2 linked regions of the Tribolium castaneum genome follow. The protein of the gene in region 1 interacts with the protein of each later gene in a pairwise test. Links are inferred from orthologs where the notes say so. Each region holds a gene or a part of one and is shown on either strand. Other genes may lie near its edges.

Region 1 (5,466 bases):
AGGGAATTGATTATCCATTGGATACTTTGATAATGTTCAAAATTTTTAAGGTGTCAACTATTTTGCTAGTCGTACACCCTTTAAATAAAATCTGTTTTCAGAAAAAAATATGAAAATCTTATGCGCGATTAGCGTAAAAACCATAGAATGTCAAAATATTCTGAAAATAAAAAACAAATAAATCAATCAAGATTATCTACCCCCTTGGTATCTATCATCTACTATCCCCCTTTTTTGACAAAATCCTGAATTTTGCAAAAAAGAAACAATAAAAAATGACTTGAAAATTCTGAATTTTATTAATTAATTTCTGACAACACGTGTATATTCCGCCACTTCAATTTAACACAAAATTTCATTTTCAAAATCCGAAAAAGAAAAAACAATTTTTCAAAATGAGAGGTCCAGAAATTATCCAAAGGCTGACGTAGAAAATAATTTATCCCCAATCACATTATAATTGGAGCTTTATCCACACTTACGAAGCAATAAAGTGACCTATCATCCACTAGTAGAATAAAGTAACTATTGGAATAAAGTAATAAAGAGGTGACGCCCTTGCGTGGATAAAATGCTTTCTAAAACACTTACACAACAAATAACCCTTTTATTTTGTAAAAAAATCCTTTTCATTAAATAATTGGTGATTATTCTAACTTGTCTGATTTTTCTTATCAATAGACAGTTTATTAACAAAGACTTAAAGCTACGACATTTTATTTCAAAAAGGGTTAAATTTAAACCTTTGCGAATCTTGCGAACAAAAATTAAAAAAAAAAAACGGTCAACAGACGGAGATTCGATTCTGCTCTATTCTTTCATTTATTAATTTTCTTACTTTAAGGGTGGAGGTAAACAATTTCTTTTTGAATCGCATTTCACCAGATGATTAATAAATTGAAAGAAAAAGTACCTTCTTTCATAAAAATGAAACTATTTTATCTAAAAATGGGCAAACCTAAGACCAAATGTCTTAAGAACAAAAAATAAAAAATCGATTCAGTGAAGAAGTTGGAGATTCCTCTTATTATTGTTTATTATTTCTTGTTAAAACAACAAATTTGTTTTCAGAACATTTAAATTTCCCGCTATTTCCCAACGGTACGATTTTAGATTTGACCACAAGAAAGCGTTTTAGTTTCAACTCATGCAACACGTAGTCAATTTTTTATTGGTGTCGCGATTTTATTTTACATAGAACACAGTCCTTTTTAGTGGCTATTTATGACATAAGTGGGACCACCACATTTGAACTTTCCCGCGCATTATTTCAAAACGGGAATTCAAATTCAAATTCAAATCTTACGGGCTTTTTATTACTTCCTCGTTACAAGTCCTATTTTAATTTTTGTCGTTTTAAAATATCATAATGCAAATGTAACAAAATATTTTTCTAGGTATTCTTTGTTACAATATACACTGAGGTTTTTTGCAATGGATTCACATGGACTTTTTAAAACTGAACAGCGGATAATACAATTTTTTTGTTGGTAAAATTTTAAGCCTTCTTTTTAATATCTGAATCCTAGATTATAAACACTATTTTAAAACACTCCAACAAAACAAATTTGAATAACACTTATACGAAAACGCTTAAAGTTCTCGGGTGTCTAGGTATGCAACTCGCATACGCTCGTTGCATAACGACAACCCTCGAACTTTAAGCTTGTGTTTTCGTACTCGTATTATTAATAACTATAATACTGTTATGTAATATTTAGCGAAATAAATTCTTCACCATATAATACAACAGTTCTAAAGATTCTAATAATACATTGATTAACAAAAGTGGACCAATATTTGGTTTCCTATTAAAGAAAAAACAATATCTCAATTTAATATTATCAAAACTTTGCAAATATCCAAGTTTTCGAAACACGAACTAAACTTTTTAGGCCAAAGCAAGATGAATTGGCATCGTACATTGTTGAAAAAGTGAAAACACAACGACGTCAAAGCCAAAAATAAATTCAAATTAGTTTATTTAACTTTAATTTTGAGAGTCACTGTGTGTGAACTAAGTTAAATTCTGTCAAAATTCTCTTAAATATTACTATTTCAGTTAATCTAAAAATAAAACTTGCTTAATGAATTGCGAACTAAGTTAAACCCTGTAATTAAGTATGTCGTATCAATGAATAGAATTTTAACAATTTTCTCAAATGTATCTAACAAAAATTATGGAAAAATTATAAGTGTCCATATGTCACATTATCAGTTGTCTTGTTGGCCAAAAAATTATTCGAATTTATCATCCAAATTATCGCGAATTATGACATAAAGCAAATACATTTCTTATCTCCTGTTATCCAACAGATAACCACAAGTTCTACCACTCAAAAGAAATTTTAAAATCGAGACTAGGGGACGCATTGAAAGCAAAATTGATTAATGATCACCCTTTTAAAGACACATTAGCTTACTCCTAATGAACAAATAAGTAATTTGAAATAAATTATTGTAATTTTGTACATTTGAGATCAATAATAATCAGTCATCTATTATGCAAAAAGGAAACCACTTTCCAGACTTGATTATATTTAAACAACTCTATCAAAACTGAGTTTTGGTAGGTGACAATTTCATGTTTTCGAAACATTTGTGTATGAAAAATACGTGAAAACGTACGTTTTCATCAAAACTACAGTTAGGAAAACGGTAACAAGAGCAAACCCATCATTACCTTTGTCTTCTTCCTCATTGTTGAAAAATTTCCCGGCTGTCCACTTGAATTTTCCAAACTCTTTCCCCGGGTGTTTACTGTATATCCAATTCTTTTCCCAGGAATCTGCAATTGTGGAAAATTAGCATTGTCTTCGCAAATGCGAGTTTCTTGAACTTCCTCCTGAACCGGCGTGGAAAACCTAGCCCCCAAAAAACTTACCATCTTGGAATTTTTCTTCAAGATATACTTCAGCATTCGATGCATAAAAATACGCACAAAACATAAACACTAAGAAAGAGGACTTCATTTTATAATAATTTTACCAAAAATATTACAATCGACAACGTCAAATTCTCGCCACGAATCTACCGCAAATGCCAGAAAAATAGTGAGACAGACGTATACAAACCGAAGTAAATCGCTTATCGCAATATGTCTATCGCTCTCGCACTCACGCGATTTCGGGTGAAAGGACGGGAAAGTACGTCCGTGATACGTGACTAATACGACAGATGGAATGATGTGATTGGCTGAGGCAAACGCGGTGTACATTGGCGGCGATAAACGTAGAGAATTTGTCCTTGTCTCGCGCAAACACCGACCAATTGATTAAATGCGAACGTGTACCAATCCCTTGTACAGTTGGAGGCTCCTGATTGGCGGGTTTCAAGTGGTTACGACATGAGGCGCGCATTCAAATATTTCGCCCTAATCTTATCTTTCTCATTGACACTGTTTTATCGGCTTTGTGAAATCGCAATTGCGAAATTCGCCGGTTTGGGACATCAGGCAATTATATTTTTGTAATTTTTGTGGACGTTTTATGGTTTGATAAATCTCTGGTCGATTATTTACGATTCCGGTGATTGGGTATATGGGCGTTGTTATCTGCAATTTCTTAATACTCTCCTTAAAACAATCGATTATTTGCGTGAAAATGACGGATTGCCTCATTTCGTATCGCAGTTTCAAATCTACCGCTTCTGTATGCAAGGAAAGTAAAAAGATCAACTTTGAAAACAAAGAAATAAACTTGATCGCCTACATTTGAAAGTAAAAGTTCAGTAGAGTGCATTAAACACAAACGAAACACGTTCCTCCAAGAAGCAACATGTAAAAACGTCCGAACAAAGGTAAGTACCGTAAGATGTGATTCGAGTTCAATTTATTTGGTGTAAAAATGTTAAATGCAGTGAGTTTAAGTGAAAAAAATCGTGCTCAAGTCGTTTACCTTGAACTAGCAAAGACATAAAGAACGGAACAGTAACTTAAGTCATGTTACCTTCCATTGATCTCTTGTATTTATAACAAAAATGTGAGGTAAGTTTTAAAAATAGACCAAAAAAGGATTGACCATTCGTAAAAAAACAATAAAATCGCAAAATATCCTCCGATCGAAAGTGAGTAGAATTTCACCTTTTATCTATCATTTTCTTGAATATCATGCTAATTTTTTGTTAAAATGACATGAATAAAGCAATCTAAAACTATACAAGTAAATAACTTTCTAAAATAAATAAGTTTTGGAGAAAATTTGCATCAGCTTTCTTTGAGTTAATTTTTTGCGTTTTGCAGAAACGACTATGAAAAATGTCTTCAGTCAACGATAGAAAAATAAGGGACGTGCGTGATATATGGAACTGCAACAAGGAGGTGGACAAGGAGAATCCGCGAGTTCCAGTCGTCGAAAACAATGTAGATAATCGCACCAAACACAAATACAAGACTTTAGAACGACACCTAAGTATGAAAAAGACTATTCGGAAGAAAATGATGCGAGACTTGAGGGAAATAGGGGATGCGGCCGTCGAACCGAACTCTCCGACGCAAACAGCGGGATTCTTAGAACAAATTAAGAACGATCAACCTCCACCTGCCAATATAGACAAACCTAGTTTGTGGAAAAGACTTACGAAAGGGTGGGGTCATGCTTAAACGGTTTTATGACCTGTTTGTGATTGTTTGTAGCTTCCGGGAGCTTACTTAAATGATTTGCAAACAGTATTTATAGTGAATTAGCTATAGCTTTAAGTTACGCTGTTCCTAAAAAGTATTTTCTAATAACATAGTAATGCAGAATTGTGGTGTTATGATATTTATTTTATAGCATGTTACCAGGTTTCTTTGTTGTGTATAATAAATCCAGGAAAGCAAATTTGTTGCTGCGTTCTCTGCTATTAATTTTGTTAGGTGGATATCAATTCACTACATTTCGCTTTAAATACATAGCTGGTTGACTTTATTGTGCACATGTTCCAATAAAATAGTTTTCAAAAAGTGTCGCCATTTGTTAATCCCCACATTTACGACGGATTAGTCTCGCAGGTGAAGGTTGGTAATAAATACTTGGATTCCAATAAATCATAAAAATTGTAATATTAGCACATCATTTCTTTCTTTGAAAAATACGAGGACTAAAAAGTCAAAATTTTTGCAGTTTTGTAAACTGAGGCTCTAGAACAATCCGTTCTTGCCGCAAATTTCTCTTTTGACAGTTTTTTCACAAAAAAAATAACAAGTAGGCAAGTATATCAAGTTAGGTAAGCTAATAGACACCATATTAGGCCACACGTAAAACTTTTAAACCAAACAGTGAAAGAGACATAATAAACAACCTACAACTTGAAAAAAAGACCATGACCTCATATACATACAAGATTTGACCTCATGATTATAAATAAATTTCGAAAAGGATTGACATCACACAGTAGGCCATGGAAATTAAAGTGATATTTTGAGAATTTTTTTTACAAATAATATCAAATATCAAATTTTACAAAATCCAATAGTGTCATGAGAAG
Region 2 (5,218 bases), on another chromosome or scaffold:
TTAGAGCAATCCTTAACTGTAATAAGTATTGCTGATAAAAAAAGGTCCCAAGGGGTGTTTGTCCGAACATTTTCTTACAATCGAAGGGCTTAATCTCCTGCAAAAATAAAGAAAACTGTAAGATATAAAGTGGGTGAAAAAAAATAAAGTTTGCAAAATAGAGAAACTATATAAAAATTTAAAAAAATCATTAAGGTGCCAAGAGGTGTTTGTCCGAACATGATTTTTTTACAGTCGAAGGCTTTATCGAAGGGCTCAGTCTCCTGCAAAAATACAGAAAATTGCAGGATATAAAATGGGTGAAAAAAAATAAAGGTTGCAAAATCGAGAAACTTTATAAAAATTAAAAAAATTCGTTAAGGTCCCAAGGGGTGTTTGTCCAAACATGATTTTTTTACAGTCGAAGGCCCTATCAGAGGGCTTAATCTTCTGCAAAAATAAAAAAAATGCAGGATATAAAGTGGGTAAAAAAAATAAAGTTTACGAAATCGGGAAATCTTAAAGAATCTTTAAAAATTCATTAAGGTCCCAAGGGGTGTTTGTCCGAACATGATTTTTTTACAGTCGAAGGCACTATCGAAGGGCTTAATCTCCTGCAAAAATACGGAAAATTGCAGGATATAAAGTGGATAAAAAAATAAAGTTTGCAAAATAGCGAAACTATTTAAAAATTAAAAAAATTCGTTAAGGTCCCAAGGGGTGTTTGTCCGAAGATGATTTTTTTGCAGTCGAAGGCCCTATCGAAGGGCTTAGTCTCCTGCAAAAATAAAGAAAAGTGCAGGATATAAAGTGGGTGAAAAAAAATAAAGTTTGCAGAATAGAGAAACTATAGAAAAAAATAAAAAATTCGTTAAGGTCCCAAGAGGTGTTTGTCCGAACATGATTTTTTTACAGTCGAAGGCCCTATCAGAGGGCTTAATCTTCTGCAAAAATAAAAAAGCAGGACATAAAGTGGGTATAAAAAAGTTTGCGAAATCGGGAAATCTTAAAGAATCTTTAAAAATTTATTAAGGTCCTAAGGGGTGTTTGTCCGAACATGATTTTTTTACAGTCGAAGGCCCAATCGAAGGGCTTAATCTCCTGCAAAAATAAAGAAAATTGCGGGATATAAAGGGGGTGAAAAAAAATCAGTTTGCATTGCTTGAATATGAGAATAAAAAATGCAGAAATTACATGTACAATGGTCAGGAGATGATCTAAAAATGTGATATACAAGTCAGCATAACAGCTTATGGATGTTTTTATACCGATTTACCATTATTTTGATAATTTTTGCTCGCAGCGATTGTCTGGTCGACTGTAATGTTCATGGTGCCAGCACCATTTTTGGTGCTGTCTTCAGCGAAATTTTTTAAAAAATGTTTTTTAACATAAATCATACCTTGGGTGAGGCGTAAAGGGGCACAATGTCGTTATTGGGGCGCCAGTAGCTGGACGATTGTGGTGGTTTTGTCCACCATTCTATTCTATTCTATTCAAGTAATTTGGTGTTGAAATTCTAGTGACTTTCGGTGAAAATCCCTAGTCGGAATAACCTATTCATCATCGTTCCTAATCTTAGTGCTATTTTTGTTTATAAGTCGTCCTTTCTCGTATGTCATGCGAGTGCGAGTTTCATAGTGTTTTAGAAGTAAAATAAATTAATTTGTACAGTTGTAAATTTCCGTATTTGTATAATTTAGCTACATTACCACTCCCCTAGCTAGTTTTTTATTTAATTTATTTTATGAAAAAATGTCGACTCCGGCCCGACGACGCCTCATGAGAGATTTCAAACGGTTCGTAACCAACTATTTCCTCTAATTTCCCCCATTTGCTTGTGTTTTGCGCCCACATTTGCTCAATTTCGATGCGATTCTCCTGCAGGTTGCAGGAGGACCCCCCCACGGGAGTCAGCGGCGCCCCCACAGACAATAACATTATGATATGGAACGCCGTCATCTTTGGCCCCCACGATACGCCCTTCGAGGATGGCACCTTTAAATTAACTATCGAATTCACAGAAGAATATCCCAATAAACCGCCCACGGTCCGATTTGTGAGTCATATGTTTCATCCCAACGTTTACGCCGATGGGGGCATCTGTTTAGACATTTTACAGAACAGGTGGAGCCCCACGTACGATGTCTCGGCGATTTTAACTTCAATTCAAGTAAGTAGGTCATTGACAGCTAACCTTCATTGGGCGATTTTTTGCTTTGAACCTGTCTGACTCCGGCTCATTTCTTGGACCAAAATACAGTCCTCACGCTCAACAACACAATTAGACGTTTTTGCAAAAAAATGCGACCATTTTCATTAGTTGCACCAAACACAAAGGAATTGCCCTTATTTTTTATTTTGATTAAACAAATCGCCTGTTTTTAACTTTCCTCGTAAAAATTCAAGGTTGATTGTAAATTTTAATCAGCTGTAATGGCCGTAGTGCAATTACATAATGTATGAATATTAAAAATAAATCGAGCTAAAAATAACTATTCATTGAAGTAGTCAAATATCTGAGGTTTTGGGTAAAAACAAACGGACAAGAATTTTTTATTTATTTATCTAGAAGGTTGTTATGACTGTCAAGTTTGATAGACGTGTTTTGTTGCCCTACTAGATCAGGGACACCAAAATATATTCCTACTATTTTTTCCACGTCAGTGTGCATCAAGTAGGTTGCGGAAGTCTAAAGCACCTTTAATTTAATAGCCAATTCACAAAAAACTGTTAGTCATTTTAAACATATTTAATGACAAAAGTCTATGCTCATCACCACAATAGAAATTACTAATAATCACACAATTTTTGGTCTAACTTGGTGAAATTTCGATTTATAAAAAAATAAGAAAAACTACTTGAAAGTTTTCAATCTATTTCTCGTAATAAACTGAGAATATGACTTCGAACTAGTATCATAACTTGCTTGAAAAGTACATTTTCGACCAAACATTGTAGTTTTTTCGGCTTATTTTTGAAAAAATTTTGCTCAAAAAGTACTCAAAGCAAGTGAAAAATCAAAATATTTTACTAAGTTTCAGTAAAAAATCAAATAAAAATGTTTTGAACTGAAGATGTAATTTAATCAGCGATGTTATCATAATGAGAGAAACTTGATACGTCTTCATTTTTGCATAGTATTTTTAACAAAGCTAAAGCAAGTGAAACAAACAAATTAAGTAAATAAGACGGTTATTAATTCAACAAAAAGGCTCTTATGAATAATAATTTTGTGTTAATCAAAGAACATTATTTTTATTTGAAATCACTTCAAAACACACTTCAGAATATTTAAACTATTGCAGTGTTTTAACAATGCATTTAATTTATTAATTGTTATACTATACCTAAAATAATGAAATTAAAAATAAAACAAAATGGATAAGAAATGTGGATACTTTGATGCGGACTTTTTTCTTGGAAATTTAATTCCCCATTTCATTATATTTTTCTTAGTTTTGTCACGGAAATTTTTAGTCCAGAGCTTTTCTCAGCTTATTAACGTTCCTTTCGTCATTTTAATTCCACCTACTAAATTTTTGGGTTCAGAAAAATGAGTTCTCGTAAACTCAAACACATTGGTAGATGTCAGTTTGTTTTTATCACAAGCGCGCGTTATTTTTCCAATAACGTGAAACAATTAGTTAAAAATAGCGCTGATAAGATGTAAAAAAGTGTTGTAATTGCCGAAAAAAACACAGGAAATGAGCATTTTGCAAGACGATTTCGTGTATTATCGCCCAGATTATTTAAGTATTTTTTGTAATTTGGAAATTTTTGCTAGTCGTTACTGAGCGACCCCAACCCGAACTCTCCAGCGAACTCGATGGCCGCACAACTCTATAAAGAAAACAGAAGAGAATACGAGAAGCGAGTAAAAGCGTGTGTGGAGCAGAGCTTTATCGACTAGCGCCTTGGCAAGAAGTGTGTATACCTGAGCTACTTTCTGTGCTTCTAAATTACAGCCACGCGTATCGTTCTAAGTTGCTTCAATCTCAAAATATTCAAAAACTGATTTGTCGTCTGCAACTCACTAGATATTTTATCAAGTTGGACAATTTTTCCCGGTTCTAAATTAATTTCAGTCACGATTTATCAGTATGTATTCAATAACAGTGTAAGTAAATTTTTTAAAAAGAAAATATTATGTATTTTTTAAGTACTTTCAATTTGTTACACATTTATTTAATAAGTTGTGTTAATCTCTTTATGTTTTCCCCTATTCGTACGATTTCACCTCATCAAGGGTATTTAAATGTGTTATGCATATACTTAAATAAATTATTATAAGAAAAAACAAGTCTTTCATTTCGTTCTTTTTTATCAACATTAGTTCAACAACATTACAAAAAATTAAAAACAAATAAATTACACAAGTTATCACTCGCAAAATACAAGAAGACTCGAATATTAATGTACAAAAATAGTAATTAAGTTCAATTACGCTTCAGATAACGAGCCACCAACAGCACATTTCCGGTAAAATCCGGACAAATTGCGCTATTTATAACCCATTCAATTAAAAATATGGCAAATCAGCGATACTAGCTATCATCCATTAACAATTTTAATTGCTGTTTGTACCGCTCGGCTTCTTGCTCTTTTTTCAGCAGTTTTATTTTGTATTCTTCTATCGTTTTTCGCGCCTCGATCAACTGCGTCATCACTGTCTCCATGTCCGTGACGCCGTTAGGACCCGAGATTTTATACATCTGCAAAATAATTTAATCAAAGTGGCCCCTGATTTTAATCAGATCAAAAATTAAGTAGACGCCTCCTTGATGGACTCAACAGAGCGCCATCTCGTGATTTTTAAATAACTACAGTCAAAAAATATGAAATAGCAAGCTGTGTGACATTGACTCCTATCAAGGAGACTGTGGTAAAGCAAAAATTTGCCTTTAAAACGCCACAAAAACTCTTACATTATTTACAGTCGAGACTGGGATCAGTTTATTCTTCTTCATGACAATCCGTTTCACATTCTTTGGAACGAGCCGTCCGTTGATTTGTTTAATTATGTTTTTGGACTTGTTCTTACAATTTGACGCCATTGACAAAAATTCTTGTGGTGTGACGGTTATGATCTTTTTATTTATGGCATTCGCCTTCTGTTCTGACTCTTTGATTGCGTTTAAAACCTGTTTTCCGGCATCCGTTAACACAACCGAATGTCCAGTCTCCATAACCGTCGTTAAAATGTTGCTGTCGTCATTAGGGAGCATCGTAATTCCGT

Evidence for each region. The genes of interacting proteins can lie anywhere in the genome.
Region 2: the proteins of Calr (region 1) and Ubc6 interact in a two-hybrid assay, tested with the Caenorhabditis elegans proteins (2 studies listed by BioGRID). The link is inferred for Tribolium castaneum from reciprocal best matches to the Caenorhabditis elegans genes crt-1 and ubc-1.

The regions. Positions count from the first base shown.
Region 1 is NC_087395.1:13,846,677-13,852,142, reverse strand, and holds the start of Calr (calreticulin), read right to left. Parts: upstream 3,126-5,466; 5' UTR 2,973-3,125; coding exon 2,885-2,972; intron 2,789-2,884; coding exon 2,684-2,788; intron 1-2,683. UniProt on the Caenorhabditis elegans protein: Molecular calcium-binding chaperone promoting folding, oligomeric assembly and quality control in the endoplasmic reticulum (ER) via the calreticulin/calnexin cycle.
Region 2 is NC_087400.1:6,408,395-6,413,612, reverse strand, and holds Ubc6 (ubiquitin-conjugating enzyme E2-17 kDa), read left to right. Parts: upstream 1-1,557; 5' UTR 1,558-1,734; coding exon 1,735-1,778; intron 1,779-1,866; coding exon 1,867-2,152; intron 2,153-3,766; coding exon 3,767-3,892; 3' UTR 3,893-4,282; downstream 4,283-5,218. Other genes in the region: Atac3 (GA-binding protein subunit beta-1), read right to left, coding at 4,527-4,694, 4,908-5,218. UniProt on the Caenorhabditis elegans protein: Catalyzes the covalent attachment of ubiquitin to other proteins.